Kluyveromyces lactis: one gene and its partners. The protein of the gene in region 4 purifies or fractionates together with the protein of the main gene of each other region. This does not show direct contact. Links are inferred from orthologs where the notes say so. Each region holds a gene or a part of one and is shown on either strand. Other genes may lie near its edges. The genes, in order: TAF2, TAF13, TAF7 and TAF4.

Region 1 (5,105 bases), about 350 kb from region 4:
GATAGATGATCTCAACTGTTTTTCCCTTCTATGGGCAACTTCTTTGGTGAAATCTTCAACAACAATCGATGCTACTGTGGTGGGGTCAGTGGGGCATATCTCGTTCATCATGTAATCAATATCGTCTTCAATCTCAGATATGCTATTCTTAGAGGATATAAGATCAATTGCACCAGCGAAGGTATCAACTAACTTTGTCCTTATATATACATCAGGGTGGAAACAAAGCGTTTCGAAATAATACTTCAAAACTTCCTTATTCTTGATCCCTCCTATAACTAGCAAAATTTTGAGAGCCTGTAAAGCAATGTCTTGCAGTCCTTCTCTTGCGTGGCAGATTACAGGATGGTCAGTTGTTGGTTGGTCCAACATGGTTGAGCTTAGAAGTTCATTGTAATCTTCATAGTGATAAAGACCATGTACTGCCAATTTCAGTCGTTGTTTTTGGATTGTCTTAGTGGTCAAAAATTGATAAGAAGACATCCATTGATCTAGATTGTAAAATCTCTGGATTTCGTTCATAACTTCATCAATATACTTTGTATCGTTGATATCAGATATTGAACAGTCTACCAAAGATTCAAGTAATTCCGTGATATAAAAAGTGTCGCTGTAAATATTATCAGTGTTGTCATTGTACCGCACTACATCAAGCAAGAATTCCTTAACAAATGCAGGGCAAACACCCTCATCATTTTTCACTGAAGAAAGAAGTTTTGGGATTGCTTTCTGCAAGAAATATTTTGGATAGTCGGAAAAGTCATTGTTTTTGGGAATATTAGAGTCCTCGTAACAGAAAAGCTCCCTGAATATTTGAACCAGATGCCTTGGGCCTCCCTTGAATTCTTGCTGTTCTTCAGCTTTAATTGTAAATTTTGAAAGTGCTCTACAAGCAGCAAGACGGACACCATGAAAGTATTTTGGATCCATTGCTGTTCGAGTGAGAATGGAGGAATATATAAGGGAATTAGATGTGCCGTTCAAAATCACATCTTCAAAAAACCTGACACTTTCCACTTGCGCTTCCACGTCTCTATCTTGTTGTAACTGAGAGGCAAACATATAATCAGGTTGATTAATGTGCACTTTCGAAATCCACTCAAAATCGGAGTCTATTCTTATCCATTCGAAAGCCTCATTCTGCTGCTGTAAGTCATCGCCTTCTGAAGTTGTCATTGGGTCTGTTAAATTCCATTTATTACAGTCATCTTTGCTAACGAGTACATCCCCCATACAATTAATAAGCACTATATCTTCGTTGGCATTTTCCTCCTCCTGTGTATCCTCATTGATTTCCTCTTTCGCTTCCTTTGTCACTCTATTAACCTTCCTTCTTCTCTTTAACCTTTTATATTTAGTGTTATACTGAACATCCAATTTTGTAAATACATCCTTTAGTTCAACAATATGTTCATACGGAGTTCCGTCAGCTTCATGGATTCTGATTGTCATGGATCCGGTGAACACCTGAGTAGGAGATTTGTCTTGATCTTGCAAATATTCCATAGCACTAGAATTGAAATTTTCTTTTCCAACGATTTTACCTAATCCTAATTCCTGCATCTGAACTTGTCTGATGCCCATTTCAACTGCCATTCTCTTTTTGTTAAATCTTTGCGTTATGCGGAATATTGGAACACCGGATCCGTATACCCATTGCTTGAAGAAAGTTTCGAGTCTATTTTTGTTCACACGTTCACACACTCTCTGAAAATGGGTACTAGACAATGAGTTATTGGTCAATTCCCCTGACATAGCTTGTAAGTATATTTTGGGCAATACTCGGGACATACCGAATGACCTTTCTGTTTTTGTCATTCTTCTATCGAGAATAAAAAGCACCATTGGAGCCTTTAATTTTATAAAATTAATTTCCTTTGATAGAGTTGATATAGGTAAAGAAGCAGAATCAAAAGTAGTTCCGATTGGCTGTTTTTCCCAATCCTGTTCAACTATGGCTTCCGATGCCATTTTGATCCTGAATTTGTACTCATTGACACCCATGAGCTTTCGTATTAATTGTAATACCATGTATCCCGCCATGCCAACAACGCACCATAAATCATTCAATTCTAGAGGAGTGATGTTAACGCCAGACCATTGGTTTGCTAAACCCCATGCAAGTGTGTTGGTTGTAGGATAAATTAAGTCTATAATTTCTGGAGGATATAGCATTCTGGAATTATAAAAGGTGGCGCTTGTGAAATCCATCAGGTCAGTCGTTAAAGTTGGTAAAAACAGCAAAGAGTACGAGGTAAAAGGATATGAACCAAACTCTTTAGAATAGAAATCCATAATTTCCTGGCAAACAAGAGTAGAATTGAGGATAGTTTTTTCGTTCAAATCGACAGTTGGCAATGTGTAAACAAATATAGGAATTTCATCACGAGGCTCATCAGCTAACACTTGCTCCTGTTGCGGTATTTTAAATTCATCCATCTCTTCATCTTCATCGGCCTGTAAGATTGAAGGTAGTTCTATAGTCTGGAAGGCACCGATAGCCCAACCGATGTGGTGTGGGGCCACGGGAGTGAATATCTGGAAGGAAACTGTCTTCTTTGCCATATCCATTGGATGGGCAGTTACCTTTCTCGTTGCCATTTCAGAACATACGACCACGATTTCTCTATTCAGATCTTCGTTTTGGATAGTCCCATCCTCATCCTCATCATCCTCTTCCTCTTCATCTTCGTCATCTTCATCATCGTCTTCCTCCTTCATATGTTCATCATTCGCATTCAAATTGGATCTCCTATCTCTTGCAGTCCTCTTTCGTAGGTTTCTTGCACCAACAACTTTAGTGGTTCCTATGTCCCGCACCCTCTTAGGTACTGATATTTCTAAATCCCATGTGCATTTCTCATCCAAGGAGTCTATGCATGGTAACCAATGTGATACAGAACTATTTAGTTCTGAGTTTGTTGTATAAGCATTCCAAAGATGAGGTTCAGGGGATATGGTATCAAAGCAAACACCTGTGTGTGGATGGTCCAATTCGTAGTCTACCCGTAAAGTCAACGGGGTATATATTGTGTCGTTAGGGAAAGTGCTCGGGGTGTTTCTTAACGAGGGAGTTATACCGGAAGTACCAGCAGCGGTTCCTAAGTACGCAGATAGGGTGTTTACGTCATGCGGCAGAATCTTCACAGAGGAGGGCACTTTAACTAATAGCTGCGATTTGGATGAACCTTCAGGATTATGGTTAAACTCTGAAAATTTCTTTCTTAATAGATGGCTCTGTTCTATGCCGTTACAGTTGTAGAGTATATCATCCTCAGAATTATTCAAGTAAGAGTCTGACAGTTTTTTGTAAGGATCATCATGCACAAAATTATCCAACCGTCTGTTCTCAAAGATGATATCCTTTATTCTCATATTCTTACAATCCAAAGCTATATATTCGAGATTAGGGGTCAATGGCATAATAATCATCTCAGTAGTACCCACTATACAGTTCTTCGAAAGGTCCACATCTATCTGTACTCTCTGATGGGCAACCTTGAATTGTGGTCCAAATTGTTGTTCCACTACTGGGTACGCCGAACCTGGTGTCTTAGGTGTCGATTTCATTTGTACCATATTCTGTGTTTGAAATTCAAAGTACAGAAGTACCGCAAATAGAATCGTAGTTTAGTGCTTAAGTTTCAACGTCTGATCAATTCCGTCTGGTGCCTCTATCTATATCACGTTTCGAAGCATCTCTAAGTATACCTTCAATATCAATTCAACGTATATAATAATAATATCATATACAGATGCATATATATTATTCAAATTTCAAGATTTTGTTTGTTTGAATATTGACCATGCGAGAAATTTATCCGGGTAATGCGGGTTAGGATGACAAGGCATCAGCGGCGGTTGAACATTCATTCATTCATTCCACCTTGAACCACGTGATTGTCTTTCTCTTTGGAAAGCTGTTAATACCTGGCGACACTCTCTCTACCCACTCTTCAGGTAAAAATGGCATGTGGTTGGAATAGGAAAAACGGGAATTTTGCCCGTATCTCGAAACCACGGTACCGTGTTAGGGGCGATTGACACAGCAATCCATTTCTCTTCGCATTACATGATCCATAAGTGAAGTGTTATGGGTTGCAGTATAGCATGCTTAGTTTATCAGATGATGGAAGCTCCGGGTGGTCACAAGATGAAAGGATGTATTAACCGGAATTTTTTGAATGTCTTCTGTCTATCTCTCTATCTATCTATCTATCTGTTTCTTGTTTGTAATCATTAAAAACGCTGCATGGGTATCTTCTTACGAGTTTTTGCAACGCAATCAGGAAAAACCACTACCGAACATCAAAACCTTTATAAGGTTACAGCAATTGCAAAGGCGACGGTATCGACTTGACACTTCAATTGCACCTTTATAGTATATAGTAGGGGAGGTATTACCATTAAATTATATCTTCGCTATTCGTAAAGTCTATACCAATTTCTTTCTGAAGGTCACTGAAGAGATCGGATAGGTTGATAAGACAGCATCAAGTGAAGATGTCAAAGCCAGTTGTTTTAAGATTAGGTCAGGTTAAGTACGCTCAAAAGGCATGGGAAGAGCTTTCAAAGATTGCACAAGTTATTCCAATTGACCCATCCCTCACAAGAGCTCAATTCTTAGATCAATGTCAGGATCCGGAATCACCAATTTCTAAGGCTCAAATCTTAACCAGAACGTTCCCAAGTGTTAAGAACACTGGAAGATTTGATGCTGAATTGGCTAAGGCATTGCCGGAATCCGTTGTTGCTATTTGTCACAATGGTGCCGGTTACGATCAAATTGACCCTACGCCATTTGGTCAACGTCACATCCAAATTTCCAACGTTCCAGAGTTGGTCAACAATTCTACTGCCGATACTCACGTTTTCCTATTGCTAGGCGCATTAAGAAACTTCGAGTACGGTCATCGTTTGATGGAAGAAGGTAAATGGCCATCCGGTGGCGCTGCCGCTGGTGCACCAGTTGGTCACGACCCCGAGGGTAAAGTTGTTGGTGTCTTGGGTCTAGGAGGTATTGGCCGTGCCATTATTGAGAGGTTGAAGCCATTTGGTTTCAAGAAGTTCATCTATCACAACAGAAATAGATTATCCAGTGATTT
Region 2 (3,173 bases), on a different chromosome or scaffold from region 4:
AAAAACTGGCCTCCTTTTTCCAATTGGATAATTTCTTCAAAGTATTGAATGATAAGTTTAACAGTGCCAATCATTCATCTCAAGAAAAAGAATCCGTTAGTAACGTAGAAAAGAAGGTAAATGAATTCAATGATCTAAAAATGCCAGAGAAGAAGAAAGAAACACATACCGAAGTTCGTGAACAGGCCAGCGGTGTATTCAAAGAAGCATGGGATGTAGAATGGAAGAATTTCAAGCAAGCGTTGCGGTTTATCGTAACAAGTTATACGGACCTACCTTCCACTGTTAGTAAGTACACTGTACTAAAGCTCAATAAACTCTGGAACAAGTTTATTGGTGTTCCAAACTATCTCGAAGAAGGAGAGGAGCTTGAATATCCATCCTACAACTACGAAGAATAGATTAAAAACCTCTCAAATTGTCATTTTATATGACAATTTGTTTATAGATATTAAGAACTACAGGAGAACCAGCTGAAAATTCCAATTATGAAGATAAAGGTGATTATGTTCAAATAATACCCTCTCATAAGCTATTCATTTGGTTAATATATAGCTAATAGAAAAAATAAACGTATATGTTGCCGCTAAGTATGCATAAATATGGCATTTTGTTCAGAAAGGCGTAATACTATAATGATAGAATTTATATGAGGATTGCTTTGTTTTTTCACTTCTTTTGCCCAGCAAGAGAAGGATTTCAAGTACAGATATGCTAGGGGTAATGCGAATGTAACTCTCAGCTTGTTTCCCGTTTCTTCTTCTTAGGAGGTTCATTTCCCTTTTTCCTTGGTCTGCCTACCGGACGTGAGGTAGGAACGGGTTCAGGAACCGTTGTCGTCTCCTCATCTTCATCAGCCGAAATGTGGTCATCATCACCGTCATCTTTCACTCGTTTCAAAGATTTCCCCTCTGAATTATCAAATTGTTTCCTGGCATCGGTAATAACTTTATTCATCTTAATCAACTCTTCAGCTCTACCTAATTTCACCTCGTCCTTTCGAAGTACAAATCTGAAATCTTCCACTTTAATCTTATTCCTCTTCACGGTTTGAGCCGAGTAGTACGCATTGGCACATATATCGCTCAAATAAGACACCACCAATTCGTCTACACATTGAATGGTCTCTGGTAAAGGTTGCGCGACATCACCAAACGCATACATCAAAGAGCCAACATCTTTACTGAAAAGACTTGTTTTACGAATTCTTCTGGACATTCCTGTGTTGATCTAGAACTCCAACCGACTAGTCAGCTCTACTCCATGGAATGGACGAATGCGCTATAAGCTAAACTGTATAGCTTGATCATTGTTTCGTGATTTTGATTCTGGTTCTGAGTTTTATGTCAAACTGTCAACTTAAACACAGCGAAGAATAGTGCGAGTTTGCTTTTTTTTTTTTCGCAGCAAAAAATCGCTTGCGTTTTTTTGTCCCCAAATATCATGCGCAGTCCATCCAACAGTTAAGCTATATAGGGAGCTTTTTAGCGAGAAAGAAATTGACAAATCGCCTAACCCTTCCGCTTGTGTGAAAATTTTGAGAAAAGACGAACAGAGGAAAGGACATGACAGATCCACATCGCATCTTCTGAGGATCAGATAAACAGAGCAATGATAATAAACCGATTAGTACCGCTCAAGATAAGGTTTTAGTAGATATTATTGTTCCAACAGTGGCATCATTTAGACGCTCATCTGCGTGTGGTTGATATTGAAGGTTTGGTAAATATTGGAGGCTATTTTTCCTTCACAGCGACTGTGAGTCAAAGAGGATACAAGCAGGAATGAAGCCTGCGAAGCCCAGAGTGAAGACGTTCACGGGATGCTGGACATGTAGATCAAGGAAAGTAAAGTGTGATCTTCGGCGGCCCGGATGTGAGCGATGTGAGAAAGGTGGGTTAATATGTGGAGGATACGATGTAAAACTTCGGTGGACCCGGCCAATTCAGTTTGACACTATGGGTAATGTGACCGCAACACCTACAGGAATCAAAGATCCAGATGAGCCTCAGTATCAGAGAAGAAACGTTGATTTCGTTCGGTACAAAGAGGAATATGTGTATTATGAGGATATGGACGATGAATTATCAGCGTTAAGCTCTCCTCCTTTAGAGCTCATCTCTGAAGACAAGACTTGGATTATAAAGAAATTTGGTGTGTTCAAAGGCACAGATAAGGTCAAAAAAAGGTACGTGCCACGGAAGAAACGTAAGAAGAATCAAGTTTTCATTAATGCCATCGAAAAAGCTCAGAAGAAACTAGCTAATAAGAAAAATAAGGTTAAAACTGCTGATTCAGATTCGAAAGAGGGCACAAATTTATGCACTCCAGAAGATATGGAATCATCATCTGCTAATGATGATCATACATCTGCGCAGCAGCTTCATTCCCTATTCGAATTCGATATGAATTCTTTGTTGTTTCCTGGGAACGAGTGGATCTCAAATGAACTACGGGACGATGCATTACTATCGGCGTCCGCAGTGCAAGGGGAAACAATACCATTTATGGGTATTCGTCAGAATAATACACCGGATACGCCACAAACTCCTCTCACAGTAGATAATATGGGGAAAAAGAATGGTAGTGTTAATGGTAATTGTAATGACGGTCGCACATCTGGAAACGATAATGAAGACGAATTGGCTAGAGTCTATCGGCTCCTCTTCCATAGAAGAGGATCTTCTGATCAACCGCCACCTCCGACTATTACTTCCGAAACTAAAAGTGGTCATGCAAAGGAAACCATTGGCATTGTACCATTGAGGAATTTTGTGGAGCTAAACGTTCCAGGATCTACTATGCCGAGAAGTGCTATCGAAGTGATTCACTCTCAAGTTCCTGATCCCTCCATTTTTAATCGTCCAGGAAATACAAACCCTTTACTTGATATTCCCACAACAGGTGTACATGTTCATGGGTTAGCGAGATTCTTGCTAAATTATTACTTACAGAACGTTGCTGACCTAATGACTGTGGTTGTTCTACCAACTAATTCCTGGAAAACTATATATTTTCCACGTGCACTCAAAGCATTAGGTGATCTAACAGGTATCGGTTACACCTCAAATTCAAGAAACTCACTTCTAAATGCGTTACTCGCAGTTTCTTGCTTCAATCTCCAAAGTAAATTTCCCAAGAACTCTCCGGAAATGAAGTTCTTCTTAACACTT
Region 3 (5,167 bases), on a different chromosome or scaffold from region 4:
TTTTTACGTTGACAAGATACATGACCGTATTTGATTGCGGAATTAGACGGGATCAAAACTGGTTAGTTAAGTAATCAATTCTGTTCTATTCTCTATCAATCCGACAGTAGTACTTTTTTTTCCTAATTACCATATCATAAGATGTCGAGGTGAAATTAAGTTGTGCTTCTCTTTCTCTCTCTCTTTTTTTTTTTTTTTTTTTTCTTTTGCGACCACCAGGAACGGTTCTAAAACAGGACTTAGTTAACCCATTATAATTCGGGTATTTTCCCTCATTCCCATTCTGTGATTCTTAACTCTCTATAAATGTTATGTCTTCACTGGGTCAATCATTGGGCTTTGGCTCTTCTTTTGCGCAATTCACCTTTTTGAGATGTACATGGCAGGGCCTTTTTCTTTCAGCCGCTCTGTAGGCAGTAAAAAGAAACGGCGAAGTGAGGTGCCTCTTAACACCTGCTGCCTCTTTCCCTTTGTGTGCCGTCGTCAAGAGGCTTCGGCAAACGAGAAGAGGTTCGCATTCGTAATTTTCCTCTTGTTGTTGCCCCGTGTTTCCCATTGATCTCCATCCATTACTTCCTTGCCTGTCTTGATTCTTGTTTCTACTTCCCTTTAAAGAATTTAAAAAAAAAAAAAATGCTTCTAGATAAATTCAGTTATACATTCAGATTACACAACTCATTCACGCATTCGTTCAGGCATTCAGTCATATCGTTCACCCTTGTAGAGCATGGGAAGCTGTAATGCTATTCCAAACTCAGATAACATGCTAAATCATCACGTATCTCTTATTGTCTCTTCGGGTATTGATTTTTTTTCTGTTTTTGTTTTTCTTTTAGTGGTTTCTTTTCTCTCAGTTCAAACCTAATCGTTATCCGCTCCGAAAAGAAGCATCATATCCATGTCATCTTGATCAAGTTCTTCAGTACCTTGTCTTGCTTCTTGTCCTTGTTGCGGTTCTTCGTCCGGCCGTTGCTCTTCCTGTTCCTCTTCCTCTTCTTCTTCCTCTTCTTCTCCCTCCTCTTCCTCCTCCTCCTCTTCTTCCTCTTCTTCTAGTTCATCCTCCTCCTCATAAAGATTCCCTTCGGTACCAATGTTTTCCACTCCATTGGTAATCGTAGCATTGTTTGGAATTGATGCCGATCCGGTTACGCCACTACCACCGCTACTAACGCTGCCATTTCTGATTGCGGCCTTGTTCGATACTGCACCGGCTTCAGTATCGGGTACGTTTTCTGAGATGTCTTGAGCTGTCTGTACATTTCCTGCATCGTCTACAACAACTGGTTCTCCTAACTGTTTTCGTTTCAATTCAACTTCTTTCTCAAGCTTCTTGATACTTTCTAAGAATCTTGTCTTTAACAACGGATTCGTAGTCCTACTGGCTTTATTCCGGTTTAATTCTAACGTACTTTCTAGTTCCCTCAATTCATCAAGTAATAATTCTCTGTGTTGCTCTTCTTCGTTAGCACCATCGTTGTCTGAGACACGTGACTTAGTTGTTCCTGTTGTAACTGATCCGGATAATCCATCAGCACCGTTCTCTTCATCCTCCTCTTCTTCATCCTCTTCTTCCTCCTCTTCTTCCTCTTCGTCCTCCTCCTCTTCGTCTTCATCATCACCGTTATCTTGTTCAACGTCATCACCGGTCTCCTCAAGAAGTTGTCCTGGTCTTACAACACTGCCAGTATCTGTAGACATCGCTGCTCCAGCCGGTCCATTAACCATGCTTGCCGGTATAGAACCATCAGTAGTTTCTGTTTGTAGAGCTTGTTCCAATTCCAATTCAAGATCTTCTTCATGATCCTCTTCCTCATCTTCTTCCGCGGCACCTGTAACATGATGTGGTTTGATCTCTTGGCTGTAGCCAACAGAAGATGTTTCATCCATATGCTCACCAGCCTTTTGATAATGTGCAAGATCTGCTGCACTTGTAGACCTTTGCTGTTGAATTGCATCCTCATTAACTAGCTCGTACCCGAACTCTTCAGCTTCAGCATCTAATTTCAATAATTTTTCAACAGTACGTTCCACATAATCAAAGGCAGTTGGTCCCATCCTATGTCTGAAGCGACGGTTGCGAGCATTATACAAAGGAGGGGTGATACCATGCTTATAATCGTAACGCTTGTTTATGATTTGTTCGATGTTTTTACTTTCAGCATCAGTCAATGGGCCGCCATTGTACCCTCTGAGTTGCTGTTTCCGTTGCTCGGTAATTTCCTTCTGATACTCTTCAAAATGTTTCTTAGTAAGATCTTCCGTATCGCTTACTTGCAAAGAAAACACTTCTTCTTCCTTATTCACTGTACGAACACATATTAACATCTGACTAACGTCAAACGTCTTCAATAAGTTCTTTCTGTCAACACTCTTGTTAACTTCGATTATACTTGGCAAGTTGACTAATACAGCACCATATTGCACCCCATTCACTTTCACAACCGCGTGTCTCTCACCCTTCCATTTGATACTGACATCAGAGTAATCACCACTCTCTATAGAGTTTTTAACGAATTCTGCACTCAAATCTGGTAATACTCTTAGAATTATACCTTCCTCGATTAGCGGATCATCCTCTACATCACTGGCCTCAGAATCGTACCCTTCACCGGGAACTCGTACAGGTTTGATTCTGAACTTAGGAGTCTTGACAACACTCGTACTTTTGCGCTGCTGCTGCTGCTGATGCGATTGGGAGTGCGGCACTAATTGTGGATGTGAATCTTCCCGTTTTTTTAGATTGATTTTTAACTTCATGGGCCGCGAGCTTCCCTTCGAAGTGCCCACATTATTATTATTGCTGATATCTTTATCCTCTTGATTATCACGCTTTTTCAGTTTGATTTTAAGCTTTGGTGCAGGCTTGGAATTATTGCTGCTGGAACTGCTTCCTCCAGTCTTTAACTTGATCTTTTTTAGTTTAGGTTCCGTTCCACCGCCTGATTCAGGCTCCTTGGGTTTGTTAATTCTGATTATCGGACCCATTGTGGGATACTGTACTAAAACTGAATGTTTACTGTCTTTTGAGAGACCCCTTGTCGTATGTGTCACACCAATTGGGTCAACCATTCATTTTACTTTCACTGTACATCTAGATAGCTAAACATTTTCCGTCGAACATTATTTCCAATTTCACGATTTCCTCCATTATGTAATTTGAAGCGAGTTTTGATCACGTGGAAACGTCCAGACTAACGCTGAATTTGGCTTAATGCATTGCAAGTCATGTTAAAGTACTACTGTATACTATCAGGGAGTAACTACTTAAAATAGTTTGAAACTTCTGATGATCATAGCTTATAGTTCGCAACTATCCTAGGTGTCTTTATAACACCAGCGTCATCATCACTATAAAATTCCGAATTGAAAAATGGAAAAGCTCATATTTCAACTCATCGCTTCATTTTGTCCAGATGAAAGTTGTAAACAAGTCACAGCAGATCTGCACTCATTGGATGGAACTGGCACCTTCTATATGAGTTCTGTGCTCCAATATACAATATCCGTTCTCTATTGTCAAATACACTACAGAATTTTTCCTAATCATGACCAAGAGTTCGTTTCTGAAGTCGGTTCTACCACTAGCAAATAAGATTCATACCAGTTATGGAAGTCAATTTGAGAAAAACCCCAAGGTAATAAACCAAATATTAGACAAGTTGAATTTAGAATCATACTACAAGTCTGAAAGCTTACAAATACTGGATATATACGCCGGGCCTTTGATTCAATCAGTCATACTTAATGAAAGACTGAAACCAAAGAAGCATGTCCTGTTAGAGGATCGATTGAAATTTGTGGAGTTGTATCAAGCAACTTTGAAGGATCACCCATCGATGGTTAATTACAATAAAAATCCATATAAATGGGAGACATTTTTAGAAATGACAAATGAAGACAGAGTCCTTACTCCTAGCATGCAGAAAAGAGATCATATTCACAATGAATTCTTGATCGCTGCCAATTTGACCAATAAAAAGGGTGAACAGCTATACGTGCAATATTTGCAGTGTATAGCGAACCAGAATTGGATGCAAAGATTTGGTCTGGTCAAGATGTTAGTTTGGATACCTCAGCAAACTGCAAGGAAATTATTCGCACCATTTTCAAACAAAGACAGAAACAGGCTTACTCTTCTATCCGAATTAGCTACTAATACAAAGCTCGTTGCGACTTCTGAAAACTCAGTAAAAAAGTTCCTTCCAGATTGCATAGAGAAGTTTGATCCCGTGATAATTCCCTCAGATAATAAAAGTCCAGACGATCTTTCACTTGTTGAAATCAACCCTAGGGATCACAGCATAGATTTGGACCATTGGGATTTCGTAACGCAAAAGTTAATGATCCTTAAATCCAAACCAGTAGAAGAGATGATTGAAATTTTGGGGCATGGGGCTCGTGATTGGTTCATTTCTCGTTTGGATCCAGTCTTATTGAAGAAAAAACCTTACGAGTTGACGTATTTGGAAATTGATGAAATTGCAAAAGTATTTGCACTGTGGCCATTTAAACCATCTTTATTAGTGGATTTCTACGATGAAAACGAGGATTAGAATTAAAGCGTACCCATCTTAGCATAATTTTCGGGTTTCATTATCGTCTTTACAAGAATTTTGTTGGCATTCGAGTTTGCGCATCATTTATATATGTGTATATATACATCTTAATCATACTTCTCCTGTACATACCTTAATACGTGATAGAATTTGTATTTTCACCGGTCTTTGGGCTACTGGCACCTTTCATGATTTGAATGCATGTGTCTCTTGCTACCCAACCTGTTCCAGGTAAGAATACCCTTCTGAAAGGTTTTCCATTTTTGTCAAAAAGATTAACCTTACTCAAATCTGGAGAAATTGGCGAGAATGACAATGGAGTGAGTTGTGGTGCTTTTATTTCTATTTTTTCTTTCTGATCACTTTTACTAACGTAATCCCTCCATCTATCTAACCCCTTCTTTGTGGTCATGTCGAATAACAATCCCTTTTCTTTCTCTTGAATGACAAAGGGTGACTTGGTGTCCTTCGAACTTACCGTTGTTAAAGAGCTTAAATTATTGTTAATCCTTGATGTTTCATACTTCAACTCTTTTTTTGTTTGCTCTAACAGCAATTGCACCCTTGTTTGAACTTGTTCCATTTCATGGATTTTCTCCCAAATTTCATTA
Region 4 (4,032 bases):
TAGAATCAATTCCACCTTTAGTAGTTTATATGCCAAACACAAGGGAGTCCTTCAACAGTAACACATCTACGTTTAAAATGTCGTACTCCACTTCCGAAAGGTTTAAGATGATCCAAAACGGTTTCGAAGCTGTCACCATGAAAAATCTCACTAAAGATGAGAACTTTATGGGGTGTATCTCATGCGCCATATTGAGACGGAAACAAGAATCACTAAATTATACACTTCCATCTGAATGTGATGCTTGTTTCGAAAAATACTGCTGGAATGGAACTGTCGATGCCACCACCCCTATCTCAAGCACTACATCCTCCTCTGCAAGTTCCACCTCAACATCTGATTCCGGCAATAAAGAAAATAGTGCCAGAATTTTGGCCCCAAGAAGTACGCTATCTTTGTTGATTGGAGGTTTAGCTAGTGTCTTCATCTCTTTCTAGTTTACCCATGAGTATCAAACTAAAACCAAAAAAATATATATGCATTGAGTTTTCAGATGTTCATGCAGATTCGTTCTTATGAATTCGTCATTGTACCTCCTTCGTTTCCAATTTCTCTAGATGATCTCCTTTGACCAATGACCAAATCATTGACAAGACTGGAGTATATAAAAGTATCTTGATATGATTCGTTAAAAAGTAATATAATAGATACAAACGATAAATGGTACCGAATTGCGTCGATCATTAGTGTACTTATTAAAGCGTCGTGTGAAGTAATGGTTTAATAAACTCTATTTTTTTTAAACTTTATTTGTCTCTGACGTGATTTTGAGTATTTAGATACTAAAAAATGAAAACTATCTTTAAATATTAAATATGCGACATGTCAGGTAGAAAAGGAAAAGTAATCTCGCATGCAAGTATGAGTCTCTATGTTATTTATCGAAAGGTTTATATTATATAAGTATGCATACTACAGAACATCTCGGAAACTCATATTATTCCTCAAAGTAACTGGAAATGCTAGTCTCTGATTCTAGCATATCCTTTAGTGATAACATTATTAACTCCTACTCGCCTATTTTCTAAAGCTAAAAGAAGGTCCCTCATAACGATGCCAGGTTCTTCTCTTGCTTCTCTATATTTGATACCCATTTCACCCCTTGCTGCAACAGCAGATGAAACATTTCCCTGATTTTTTAGGTCTGTCGAGCTGGACTTGGATCCAGCGGTCAACCAACTATATTTTTTTTTGTTACCCCCTGCAATCATCAAATTGGCAGTTGCATTTGATGCACGATATTGAGTCTCTTCAGTATCTAACCTAGCATCCGTTGTTTGTTTTTCTAAACCGAGTGCTATTCTTCTCTGTACTCTTCTTTCTTCTTGAGTCTTTTGTCTTAATGCTAAATCCCTCAAAGAACGACTCACTTCACTCCTCCTTCCCGTGTTTAGTTTAACACCTTTCCGTCTATGTATGGATAGGATTAAAGAGTTCGTTATCACGTCCCTCATGTAAAGTTCACATGCAGTAGACATTAATCCGAGTATATCAGTGTTTTTATTGAAATCTTGATGAAAGTTTTGTTCTGATGCAATTCTTTTCATGAAATCTGAAATGTTCTTAGGATGTAGGAATGGAGGATGAGATGGGACCTGGTTATTTGCTGAAATACCGGTTGCTTTTGTTCTAGCAACTGTGCTACTTAGCAATGCCTCTTCCTCTCTTATATCAACACCGGCCGATAACAAAGCATCACTAAGCTTGTCTGGATCACTTTGCTGTGGTTTTGTAGTTGAGGCAGTCGTACTACCTGTTGAACCCCCGGCATTCTTCTTCTGTTCTGCTTTCTGTGATTGTTTGCTTGTCGTACTCGTCGTCTTCAAATTTGGCGTACTTGAGTTTCGCGGAGATGCTAGGTTTGTAGTTGGAGATGATGCTTTAGGTAGAGCTAATGGCTGTTCTGTAACCATAGTATCGAATGGCGTAGGCAGATCACTGCCAAAATCTGAGCCACTGGGTTCCAGCCCGTTCTCTACTTTGCCAAATTCGAATGATTTGGAACGTTTATTTGAAGATAAATCTTCCGGTTCAGAATTCTTTCTCTTGGGCGATTTTGCCATCGTATTTTATACTAATTAGACCAATAGTGATAGTTTTCTCTGGTGAAACACGGGGGTAAAAAGAATCGTATTGGATACTTGAGGACACCTATTGCACTTGTCCCAAAAATGCAGGCAAATAAACTATGAAAAGAATAAGTCAATCTTTAAAAACAGGTCCAAATGCGGCCTATCAATTAAAATCCAGTTTCAGCGAAAAACGTACAACCTTAATGATTTCAACAAAGATAAAAAAACGTGCGAGTATTAAACATTATGCTAAAAAGTTCTATCTAGTTCCTACCTCTTTCTTCATTTAGATGCTATTGTTTGCTGGCTTTGATTTTTTCAAGATTGAAAGATCACATAATCCGGGTAACGAAGCTCATTTCTTTTCCTTGCAAAAAATTTGTCAAAAGCGTATCTCATCTCATCTCATCGCCTAACTGAACATACAACACAAAACCAATATCGAAAGGTTTCAGTTAACTTCCATCAACCATTCCATTAGCGTCCGATAGAAGGTCACTTTCTGTATTAAAAACTCTAAAGAGATTTATCAGGAAATTTATTCCTCACGAAGTAGGACAGACAAACAGACAAATTGGACATGTCATCCTCTTCCAGATACGTAACCTTTGAAGGTTCACGGAACTTTCGTTTACGAGTAGTAATGGCTACATTGTCAGGAAAAGCTATAAAGATAGAAAAGATACGTTCTGATGACCTAAATCCGGGTTTAAAAGATTACGAAGTCTCTTTTCTAAGATTGATGGAAGCGGTAACGAATGGTAGTTCAATAGAAATTTCATACACTGGTACCACCGTCATCTTCAGACCAGGAATAATTACTGGTGGTTCATACACACATCAATGTCCGAACAGTAAACCTGTGGGCTATTTTGCCGAGCCAATGTTGTATTTAGCCCCCTTCTCAAAGAAGAAATTCTCAATCCTATTCCGTGGTATAACATCTTCACATAATGATGCTGGAATAGATGCGATAAAATGGGGGTTGATGCCGATTATGGAAAAATTTGGCGTCAGGGAATGTGCATTACATACTTTGAAGAGAGGTTCACCTCCTTTAGGTGGTGGTGAAGTACACCTTGTTGTGGATTCATTGATTGCACAACCGATTACAATGCACGCCTTGGATAAAACAATGATTTCAAGTATAAGAGGTGTTTCATACTCCACAAGAGTCAGTCCCTCCCTTGTAAATAGAATGATTGATGGTGCGAAAAAAGTTCTTAAATCTGCTAGTTGTGAAGTAAATATAACTGCAGATGTATGGAGAGGTGAAAACTCAGGTAAAAGTCCAGGTTGGGGTCTAACGCTCGTAGCAGAGAACAAACAAGGATGGAGAATCTTTTCTGAAGCTATCGGTGACGCTGGGGATGTTCCAGAAGATATTGGTGCATCCGTAGCCTATCATCTACTTGAAGAAATAAGCAAAAGTGGAGTTGTTGGAAGAAACCAGTTGCCACTTACAATTTTATACATGATCATCGGTAAAGAAGATATCGGAAGACTCAGAATCACTAAGGATCAAATAGATGAAAGATTTGTATGGCTCTTACGGGATATCAAGAAAGTTTTCGGTACAGAAATACTCTTGAAGCCAGTGGATGATAACACTACGGATCTAATCGCAACAATCAAGGGTATTGGATTCACAAACACCAATAAGAAAATCGCATAATTGACATTACATATCATTTTATCTGACAAAATGACTCCCATAAGTATTCATATATAAAATTTATATGCATATGTGTCAACACAAATTCCTTCGCGTAGCACTTATTATTATCGTATCAAACAATTCCATAAAGCTTGGAACATTCAAGATAAATATTGTAGGATAGTTTTAGTGTCTTTGCAGGGGCATATCGCGGAGCTTTTTGCAAATTTTTTCCCAATTGTCAACATTGTTATTAGTGTATCTCAAATTTATTTCAATCCACCTCTGGAAGCAATCTGTAAT

What was found.
Region 1: the proteins of TAF4 (region 4) and TAF2 purify together in Saccharomyces cerevisiae (affinity purification with mass spectrometry; 4 studies listed by BioGRID, with this or other methods). This does not show direct contact. The link is inferred for Kluyveromyces lactis from reciprocal best matches to the Saccharomyces cerevisiae genes TAF4 and TAF2.
Region 2: the proteins of TAF4 (region 4) and TAF13 purify together in Saccharomyces cerevisiae (affinity purification with mass spectrometry; 7 studies listed by BioGRID, with this or other methods). This does not show direct contact. The link is inferred for Kluyveromyces lactis from reciprocal best matches to the Saccharomyces cerevisiae genes TAF4 and TAF13.
Region 3: the proteins of TAF4 (region 4) and TAF7 purify together in Saccharomyces cerevisiae (affinity purification with mass spectrometry; 3 studies listed by BioGRID). This does not show direct contact. The link is inferred for Kluyveromyces lactis from reciprocal best matches to the Saccharomyces cerevisiae genes TAF4 and TAF7.

What each region holds. Positions count from the first base shown.
Region 1 is NC_006039.1:177,018-182,122, reverse strand, and holds the start of TAF2 (transcription initiation factor TFIID subunit TAF2), read right to left. Parts: upstream 3,580-5,105; coding exon 1-3,579. Other genes in the region: GOR1 (glyoxylate reductase), read left to right, coding at 4,504-5,105. UniProt on the Saccharomyces cerevisiae protein: Functions as a component of the DNA-binding general transcription factor complex TFIID. Binding of TFIID to a promoter (with or without TATA element) is the initial step in pre-initiation complex (PIC) formation.
Region 2 is NC_006040.1:862,908-866,080, reverse strand, and holds TAF13 (Taf13p), read right to left. Parts: upstream 1,219-3,173; coding exon 739-1,218; downstream 1-738. Other genes in the region: ERO1 (ER oxidoreductin), read left to right, coding at 1-401; ARG81 (Arg81p), read left to right, coding at 1,785-3,173. UniProt on the Saccharomyces cerevisiae protein: Functions as a component of the DNA-binding general transcription factor complex TFIID. Binding of TFIID to a promoter (with or without TATA element) is the initial step in pre-initiation complex (PIC) formation.
Region 3 is NC_006038.1:735,869-741,035, reverse strand, and holds TAF7 (TATA-binding protein-associated factor TAF7), read right to left. Parts: upstream 3,070-5,167; coding exon 862-3,069; downstream 1-861. Other genes in the region: MTF1 (RNA polymerase specificity factor), read left to right, coding at 3,546-4,553; KLLA0_B08261g (uncharacterized protein), read right to left, coding at 4,690-5,167.
Region 4 is NC_006039.1:526,254-530,285, forward strand, and holds TAF4 (Taf4p), read right to left. Parts: upstream 2,064-4,032; coding exon 963-2,063; downstream 1-962. Other genes in the region: PLB3 (lysophospholipase), read left to right, coding at 1-437; RCL1 (rRNA-processing endoribonuclease), read left to right, coding at 2,653-3,747; MVP1 (Mvp1p), read right to left, coding at 3,916-4,032. UniProt on the Saccharomyces cerevisiae protein: Functions as a component of the DNA-binding general transcription factor complex TFIID. Binding of TFIID to a promoter (with or without TATA element) is the initial step in pre-initiation complex (PIC) formation.